Arabidopsis thaliana: one gene and its partner. The protein of the gene in region 2 interacts with the protein of the main gene of each other region in a pairwise test. Each region holds a gene or a part of one and is shown on either strand. Other genes may lie near its edges.

The links. The genes of interacting proteins can lie anywhere in the genome.
Region 1: the proteins of COR314-TM2 (region 2) and AT5G20130 interact in a protein complementation assay, tested with the Arabidopsis thaliana proteins (one large-scale study listed by BioGRID).

Annotation. Positions count from the first base shown.
Region 1 is NC_003076.8:6,795,075-6,799,200, reverse strand, and holds AT5G20130 (sulfate adenylyltransferase subunit), read right to left. Parts: upstream 1,841-4,126; 5' UTR 1,804-1,840; coding exon 1,546-1,803; intron 1,024-1,545; coding exon 802-1,023; intron 717-801; coding exon 501-716; downstream 1-500. Other genes in the region: HBP5 (SOUL heme-binding family protein), read left to right, coding at 40-135; AT5G20120 (testis- and ovary-specific PAZ domain protein), read right to left, coding at 2,280-2,369, 2,462-2,513, 2,596-2,760, 3,053-3,312.
Region 2 is NC_003070.9:10,284,981-10,290,315, reverse strand, and holds COR314-TM2 (cold regulated 314 thylakoid membrane 2), read left to right. Parts: upstream 1-2,411; 5' UTR 2,412-2,437; coding exon 2,438-2,580; exon of another isoform or gene 2,581-2,647; coding exon of another isoform or gene 2,648-2,661; coding exon 2,662-2,802; intron 2,803-3,047; coding exon 3,048-3,143; intron 3,144-3,269; coding exon 3,270-3,334; intron 3,335-3,587; coding exon 3,588-3,657; intron 3,658-3,741; coding exon 3,742-3,907; 3' UTR 3,908-4,249; downstream 4,250-5,335. Other genes in the region: COR413IM1 (COLD REGULATED 314 INNER MEMBRANE 1), read left to right, coding at 777-919, 1,003-1,140, 1,286-1,381, 1,510-1,574, 1,643-1,712, 1,806-1,971; AT1G29380 (Carbohydrate-binding X8 domain superfamily protein), read right to left, coding at 4,645-4,876, 4,963-5,005, 5,325-5,335.

The sequences.
Region 1 (4,126 bases), on a different chromosome or scaffold from region 2:
CATGACATACCCAAATGATGGTTTGATCATTGTCTTCAGTCGCAGGTTCTATCATTTTCGTCTGATTCGTGGCTCTCATCTGTTCTTTGTGATTGTCTTGCATTTGCAGAGGAACGAAGTTATCATATGGCTTGAAGATTTCAGTCTGGATTAGCTAGAGCTTGGCCAAATGTTACCATAAGACGTATGTAGAGGTTCCATCTACTTTATAATTTTAAGATTGCGACGACAGAAAAGCTGTATAGACACAAACCTACAGGCTACAACATTAAGCTTGCTCATTATTTGTGGACAAGCATTTATCTATGAGACATATTTGCTCTCCTCTTGATGTTAAAAAAATGGATGATGGAAGTTACAAACAGAGTCACTCTTTCTTGTTCACAGAAAATACCTATCCTCCATTACAAAACTGAAAAGGTCGATTGCATATTATCTCATCTTGATGTTACAAAAACACCCAAAGTCATTCTTCTTGAGTCAGCTTTAAGAATTGTGTTTCAGTCACTTCCCCATTTCCGGACAACGCTCTCTTTAGCAGTGGAACCTTCCTTCTTCCACATCTCCTCTGAGTTGTCACCACTCACTTTGGAAGCTTCTCTTCCCATGAGTTTGGAGCTTAGAGAAGACAAACCTTCCCGTGTTCCTCGCAACGCATACAACAACGGGTTTAACACAAATGCAGCCATGACTTCACCTTTCGCAACCACCATATACTGCAGCAACCATTAAACAATTCAAAACCATCAACAACAAAAAGTCTTATTCATGAAAGACCAAATACATTTACTTAAAGCATACCACGGCAAGTATTGCTAAGAGGGTAAAGGCAATCTGTTGTGCCTCTTTCCAGAAATGGTCGCCACTAAACCAACCACCACCTCCAAACCAACCTCCTCCTCCTCCACCTTTACCACCATTTCCGCCACCGGATTCTTCTCTTTTCTTGATCTCTTTGTCCCACTTCTCAAACTCATTCTTCTTCCCACCAAGAGCGCTTTCCAATGATTTACGAGCTTGCTCCTGCACAATCAAGGAAATCGAACGGCAGAGTATTAGCCACCAAATCATGAAGCTACCTCTTATCTGTCTCTCTTTAGTTTTGTCGCTCTGTCATAAAACTTTTCATTCAGAGAGATAGAAAGTGTGGGTTTTTGTACTTCCTGGAATGAAGTTATTGCTAACCAACTGCTATTCTCATACGAATTCACCAAACCAGAGAGAGTTGATTAAAGAGGAACTTGAAACTCTCAGCCAAATGGCCAATCAACACAAACTTATGAAACTCCTACTCTCGAATCTAACTCACAGCGGATCTAATCTGCTACACCCAGTCCTAGACTAGATACAGTAGACATATAGCTAAGAGTTGAGCTGCTAAACTTGTTCAGAACCTTATCAGTAACAAGCATAATTAATTGAGTAAGACCATTCAAAAAGAGTCAGACAATTCGACCCCATGTTATGTACGCTCTGATTGGGTTCAGCAGATTCTACAAGATTTGTCCTTTCGAAGAATCAAGGGAAGTAAGTAAGAAAACTAACCTCTCTCTGGTTGCCGCCGGAGAAAAGACAAGAGAATCGTCCCTTGCTTTTGGTGATTGAGGTTCGAAGAGAGAAGACAGAGTTAGGGTCAAGAGTCCGGTGGCAACAACGGAGGTGGAGAAGTGGCGAGGAAGACGAAGGGTTTATCAATAGCCTCGTTACGTGTCCCATCGCTCTCTCTTCCTCTCCCTTATCCCACCACAATAATGCTTTCACCAAATTTCTCCTACATTTTGTAGTCTGTTGTATTGGTAGCATTTGCTTTTGTTTTTTGGATTTTAATGACAAAAATAAAAAACTTTAAATAAAATGAAGGTTAGCATGACTAATTTGTTTTCTGATCCATAGAATTTTTTACTCTTACCCTTTGCATTCTTTAGATTCCTGTCTCTTAGTAAAATTGTGGCTTTGTAGGCTTGTTGTAGTCTTATAGCTTATGAGCCTTCTCTACTACAAATGTTTTACCCTACAGATTGAATTCGTCGAAAACTAGAGTTTGAAGGAGACTGAATGAGAATATTTTTCACTTCACTGAACTCAGAAACGAAACAAGACATGAACCAATCTCAGAGACCAAAAACAGTAAAGAGAAAAAAAGATCCCTATTGATCAATGAGTTCATCTATCTATATACCACAAACCAACAAATTCCCCCTTCACTTTCAGATTTATTGACTTCTGAATAACAAAAGGGTTTCAACGTTCCCAATAACACTATCTCCATTCTCTACAGATCAATCTATGCGGAGTTCGTCGTTTTGAGGCCTGAATTTGATGATCATGAGATGTGGGAACACAACAAGGCATGCCATGAACAATGTGAACTGCATATCATCAAAAAAAAAAAAAAACCAATATATTCATAACCAGATGAGATTGTCTACAAGGACGAGTTTATTATGGACTGAGATCATACCAGAAGGGGGAGAGTCAAGAAGCCCCATATAGGCCACAGAGCAAAGGAGAGCCTGCATTTTGCAAATTTTGTCACACATAACTATTATGAGACTCGCGTAGTTCCTGATTGACTAGAAAATGTGATTTACTTACAGGCCAAATGAAATGATGCCGAGTAGGGTGATGAAAGGCAGAGCAGAGATACTCCACAGTTCCCATTTCTCATCAAACCTTCTCATGCTCCAAGATAACATGCTTTCGTAGATTATGATTATAATGTTCACAGCTATTCCCAACATCCCGAAATACAAAGGCATCCTGGAAACAAGGCCAATGAATGCATTATGTTTATTTTGGTTTTCAGCAAGAACCATCATCCCAAACAATGTTGAAATCTCAGTAAACTACACCAAACCATGACAAGAGAAGCTACATTTTCCCACACCATTTTTGACAATAAACCATCATAACCAAGAATATTGACTTCAAACCTCTAGGGCCATCTTCAAGTTTAAAGTGAGCCACATATGTTTTCTTTTTAGCCATATATAACACAAGCAATAATCCAAAAAAGAGCAAAGTGAAAAGAGCCCATCAAGAAATATGTTACCTTTTGATCCGAGCATCACGTAAGAGAATATGTATCATATTAGAGTGCCTGTCTCCAAAATAGACAATGAAGACAGCAGATGCAATCCAAAGCACATTCTCCAAAATCTCAACCCAGGTTTTACTTCTAGGATTCTCTAAAGAAAAAGGCTGTGGCCTAGAGCAAGCATCATCCTCAAGATCATCACCACCAGAAGCATAACCTTGGCTATGTCTTTGCCTAATGTACCCACCACCACCAACTGGAGTTCCACCAGACATGTTCCTAGAAGCTAAAAGAACCCTCTAGTACACAATAATCCCACCTCCTTAGCAACACAAAACCCTAATAGACGTCTCTATATAAAAGTCGAATTGGTCAATTCAGGCAAGTAAAAGATACCAAACTTTGAAATTCGTCTCATTACAAGCGATCCCCCAAAGTCTATGATGATTGCGCCGCCAACGAGACTGCAACGAAAAATTGACAAATGGATTCAATTCGAAAGATCGATCGTATCAAGAGATCGAGAACGGAGAATTGAGAAACCCTGAGCTGAGAAAGAAGAATTCACTAGCAGATACGGAAAATTCGATCAGAAGAAGAAATCAATAACCTCAAAAATTGAGAGCTCGTCGCGAAGGAACGCTTGGTGAAAACCCTAAGAATCGGAATCACAAATTCTCTAAGAAACTTCGTCCCAAAAAGGAAGCTTTTTTAGGTTCCTTGGAGACTGAAGCGTTTTGAGAGAGTCTGGCAACTGAACCGTTTTCAAAGCAGATTTTAACGAAACGACGTCGTTTTGCTTTCTTTCTTCTATGATAAAAAGTTAAAAACAGATAAACATCACTAGTAGTCCCATTAAATTGCGATCTTTATTTTTCTGTTACGGTTTAGGTAACACTTTTGTAGCAAGAATCACATGAAATTTGTCGTTTTTAGTCTCTCCACAACTTGAAAGGATAATTAGGTTTTTAGCTTTATCAAACTTTTTCAAGTTAAGTGAATCAAATATCTTTGAGTCAAGTTTATAATGGAACAAAAAAAATCATGATCTTAAGTTATGCGATAAAGGAGAGTTATGGTTGTTTGAAA
Region 2 (5,335 bases):
ATATTGGTGAAAGGCAGAGTTAACTGATGCATGCAGGACCCTGCGGAAGTGTGTTTTCGAATTGCAGGTTTTAAATGCTGCATGCAGAAGCTGTGCGAGTATTTACTCTGTTTTTTTTTTTTTTTTTTCTTTCTTCATGTTTTTTGGTTCCATGGAGTATATGTAAAAAAAAAAACCATGAATACTCGGTTTTATGTGGGTATTATGTTGTAACTCTCACAACTCTTGTTAAAGCTTTTGGCAATTTGTACAGTAAGAAAAAAAGAATTGTCTCTCAAGTCTTTTTTGTCTTATTTTTTGGACAGAAGTCTGTCTTGCAAAAAAAAAAAAAAAACAGAGGCACAACATTTGAAAAGATGAAGATATACATCTGAAACTGAAATTAGTTATGTCGGTACCAATGAAATTTTGCGTTAAGCTTTACAATTATTTTATGATAAGACTTGCAATATATATAAATAAAAAAACTAGTGAAATTATCTATGATCGACATGAAATTTTGTCATGTTCCAATGAATTAGATATGGTAAAGCTGACGTGGTATCCTAAGTGGGGTGGATTTGAATTGGAGTTGATTCCAACGGTGGAGATTCAAAGATTCTTTGATTGATAGTGAGCGACTCTCGTTTTCCAATCACGTGTAACTCGGCTCCACTCTAAAGCACGAAATCAACACGTCCACGTAACGATCATATATTCATGCAGTGATATAGTCGTTTAACAGAAAGATCACTCCGTCAATCTTTCCACCACTGTGACTAAATCTAAACAATTTCATGGCGAGTCTCTGTCTCTCATCGTCCCGGATCGTTTCTCTTCACCACCAGAAACCATTCCTCTCTCTTAAACTCCGGTCTCGTCCTTCAGATCTCTCCGGTCTAGGTCGCCACACGAGTCCTGTTTGCTTCAATCCGCTTAGGTACCGTATAGTGAAAACAATGGATTTGGGATTCTTTCGAGTCATGCATTTTGTGTAACTCTTTTTGTTTGTAATGTTTCTAGGTTATCGGGTGATCGTCAGCGAACCGCTACGGTATCAACGAGGGTGGAGAAGCGGCGAAAGAGAGGATCGAGTGTGGTCTGTTATGCTGCTCCGATTTCTGCCAATAGTCTACAATGGATCTCCACCATTTCTTGCCTGTATGATCTCTCTCATTTACTGTGATTTTCTTAACACATAATGCTGGTGAAATTATGCTAATGATGATTGTGTAATTTCCTCTGTTTTCATCATAACGTCAATAACATAAGTTAATTGCTATACTGAATGGTGTTTCATTTCTAGTGCATTGATGCTTGCAAGGGGTACTGGTATACATAAGTCAGTTGTTGTTCCACTATTCGCTCTCCACGCACCATCGAGCATCGTCGCCTGGATTAAGTAAGCTTTTAACATGGAGATATATTCATTAACATGGTGATATATATGGGTCTCTCTTCTTCTTTTTGCATGCTTGAGCAGCCTATTGAAGTCATTAAACTTAAACTTGTGTATCTTTATTTTTGTAGGGGAGAGTATGGTGTATGGGCAGCATTCTTGGCGCTTATTGCTCGACTTTTCTTCACTTTTCCAGGTTCGTAATCATCTTCAATATGTAGGTTGATTACAAGTTATTAATTAATTAAAGTTATACATTAATAGGTGAACTTGAGCTTCCATTCATCGCATTACTCTTGGTGATTGTGGCGCCATATCAAGTCATGAACATAAGGTTAGAATCTTAAAGAATGTAATGTTTTAATATATATCAAGGTTTTCTTTTCTTTAGTCGCCGAGACTCATTGACTTCATTATAAACTTGCAGAGGGAAGCAAGAAGGGGCAATCATAGCAATAGCAATATCTGGTTTTCTGGCTTTCCAACATTTCTCACGAGCAGGGAGCTTGGAGAAAGCATATGAGAAGGGTTCAGTTCTTGCCACTGTAGCCATTATTGGTGTCACAGTTGTATCGCTCCTTTTGTTGCTATAACTATATGCTCCTGACCAAAAATGTTAATCAGTGTAAGAATGTGTGTGAAGGAAAAAAAAGAAAGATGTGCTTGCATTTATCCGCTCTTTAAGAAATGCTGGTACATTTTTGGCAACTATTCGCTGGCAATAAAAATGATCTTTCATGTACAAACGTAAAAACAATACACATTTAAAATCTTTGGTCGACATGGGATTGGGATATTTAAAAGCTGACGTGGAATCCTACGTGGTTAGATTTGCAGTCGTATTGATGCCAACAACGGTGGAGATTCAAGATTCTTTGATTGATTGTGAACTAAACGACTGTCGTTTTCCAAACACGTATTTATGGGCCCCACTTTAAAAGCATTCCCGCTAAATCTACACCGTCCACGTAGCGATCATGATATTGATGCAAATGATTCAATTTTAACGGAAAGATGACGGAGTGATCTTTCCACCACCGTAACTAATCTTAACAATTCATGGCGAGTCTCTGTCTCTCATCGTCCCGGATCGTTTCTCTTCACCACCAGAAACCCTTTCTCGCTCTTAAACTCCGGCCTCGTCCTTCAAATATCTCCGGTCTAGGTCACAGTACTAGTGTTGTTTGCTTCAATCCGTTAAGGTATAGTGACACAGAAACACCCGATTCATAAATTCTCAATCAGTGGATTTTGGCTTTTTCTAAATGAATGTTGGTTGGTAGGTTATCGGCTGATCGTCAGCGAACCGCTACGGTGTCGGCGAGGGCTGAGAAGCGGCGAAAGAGAGGATCGAGTGTGGTCTGTTATGCTACTCCAATGTTGTCTGTTCATAATCTACAATGGATCTCGACAATTTCTTGCGTGTATGATCTCTCACTCTCATTAGCTGTGAATTTTAACGCAGAATGCTGCTGAAGATATGCTAATGTATGAAGTTTCTTACAAGTTTAGCTTAATCGGATAATAGCAAATGATTGTACAGGGAAATAGTTTAGCTTCAATTCATGTGTGAAAGTGATTTGTGATAGATAATTGTATAATTTCCACTGATTCATAATGTCAGCAGCATATAAGTTCATTTCTATACTGAATGTTGTTTCTTTTCTAGTGCATTGATGTTTGCAAGGGGTACTGGTATCCATAAGTCCTTTGTTGTTCCACTATTCGCACTACAAGCACCAATGGGCATTGTCTCCTGGATGAAGTAAGCTTTTTTTAATGCTCATTTACCTATGCTTGTGGATTTTATTCCTTTTTTTGCTATTCTGGATGACAGAAATTTTCATACTCTGCGTCTTGAATTCATCACACTTTTGCATCTAACTTGCAGGGGTGAATATGGCATCTGGGCAGCATTCTTGGCGCTTCTTACTCGACTGTTCTTCTCTTTTCCAGGTTCGTATTCGTCTTCAAGTAGGTTGGGTTATAGGTTGTTGAATTCTAGTGTTGGATTTTTTTTAGTTCAGTTGCCATTTACTAGAAAAGAAATTGGAATGAAACTCATGCTAATTTTCGACGTCAGGGGCTAAAATTTCCATTACTAAGACATGCTGAAAGGAATCACGCATGTTTTATCAGATCTTCATGTTAAATAAGAGTGTGCCTGCCTTTGTATGTTTTTAATTCTTATACAATGCCTTGTTTATAGTTGAACTTGAGCTGCCCTTCATTGCTTTGCTTTTGGTGATTGTGGCGCCATATCAAGTTATGAGCATAAGGTTAGATTCTCAAAAAGAGTGTAATGTTTCAGATCAAGGTTTTATTTTCTTTAGTCAAGACTCATTGAATTTATACGCTTGCAGAGGGAAACAGGAAGGTGCTATCCTTTCTTTAGCAATCTCTTGTTTTCTGGCTTTCCAGCATTTCTCAAGAGCAGGCACCTTGCAGAAAGCATTTGATCAGAATTCAGTTCTTGCCACTGTAGCCATAATTGGTGTCACAGTTGTATCGTTCCTTTTCTTGATATAAATATGCTCCTGACAAAAGGACTCATCTGTAAATCACTGTAACAAAGTGTATACAGAGACTAGAAATAATGTGCTGTATTATTTACTCGATTTCAATACTCAATTCAACGTGCTTGCATTTATCCGCTCTTTATGAGATGCTTGTATTTGCTACTATTCGTTGCTAACAGATTGATCTTTAGCCGCATATGATTCCACAAGGAACCAGATCAAAAATTTCAGCTTATAAGATTATGAGCTGAAAAGAGCATATTAAAGATATTGTCATCCTTTTAGAAACTGTTTGGAAATGCTGCAGGTATCATGGAGCTTGTCTGTCATTTTCGGTGTGCCTACTTGTTTTAGAGTGCTGCAGGTATGTATCTGCTTCAAGTAGCTTTCATTTTATTTTCTGTTATATCTTTCTAATAGTTAATAATGTCTGACATTGCTTTTGTATTTCTTAACCGTTCCCTAAGTATTTTATTTTCTAAAACTGTAAAGAGATACATTATGCTTAATGTGTCTACAAGAATGTATATATCCTAAGCCCTTTGATTTTGTAGTATCTCCTACTAAATAAATATACTTTCAGTGATAAACTATAGCAATAGAACAGATGGTGAGAATTAGGTCATGGATTAAAATCTTCTTGCAAATCACAGCTGCTTTCTTGAGCTCCATAGATCGCATCATAGTTATGGAAAACGCGCTTCATAATTTGCAGAGAATGATTGAAACCCTGAAACTATTGTCTGTTTAAAGATAATTTTCCCTGAGCAGTGGCATTAGTATCCCAACTGCTGTAAATATTGAGAGAAGGCTATGTGATACAGAGGTTGCTGAATTCGGAAGCCCTGTTGGCTCTGCTACGCCGAAGGGTGGTCCAGAGCCAGTTATGCCTGTAGTTGGAGTTGTTATTGGCGGTGGGTATGTAGATGATGGTGGGGAACTAAAATCTGGTGGACTCATTTGACTTGGGGGGCTTGTGCTGCAATTGGCAGATATTAATCACAATTATTTTTCTCACTTTTTTGACAGGTTAAGAAGTTGATTTGTGGAAAAAGAAACACATACCTGACTGTTCCTGATGATGATGAGAAGTGACAGCTTCCTTTACCTGGAGCAGTATAAGAGCAGATTTGAATACCAGTCTCAGATTTATCTTTAGCGTTGAAAGGTATAAACTCTAGTTATTATCAGATTCTTTGACCCACTGGAATCATATGGTGGGCTAGTATTACTAGGTTCAGGAACTATTTCTAGACACTCAACATCTATCAGTTGTGGAGGTCTCAAGTAGCTTATGCCGCTCATGGAGACAGCAAAGATAAAAGCTGGAAATATGGAAGCTAGTATGCGGGTAACTTAATTCTACTTTCCCGGTTCTTATGGTCAAATCTGTGTGGACTAGTACATAAAAAGTTAAGATGTCTTACTTGGATCTGTG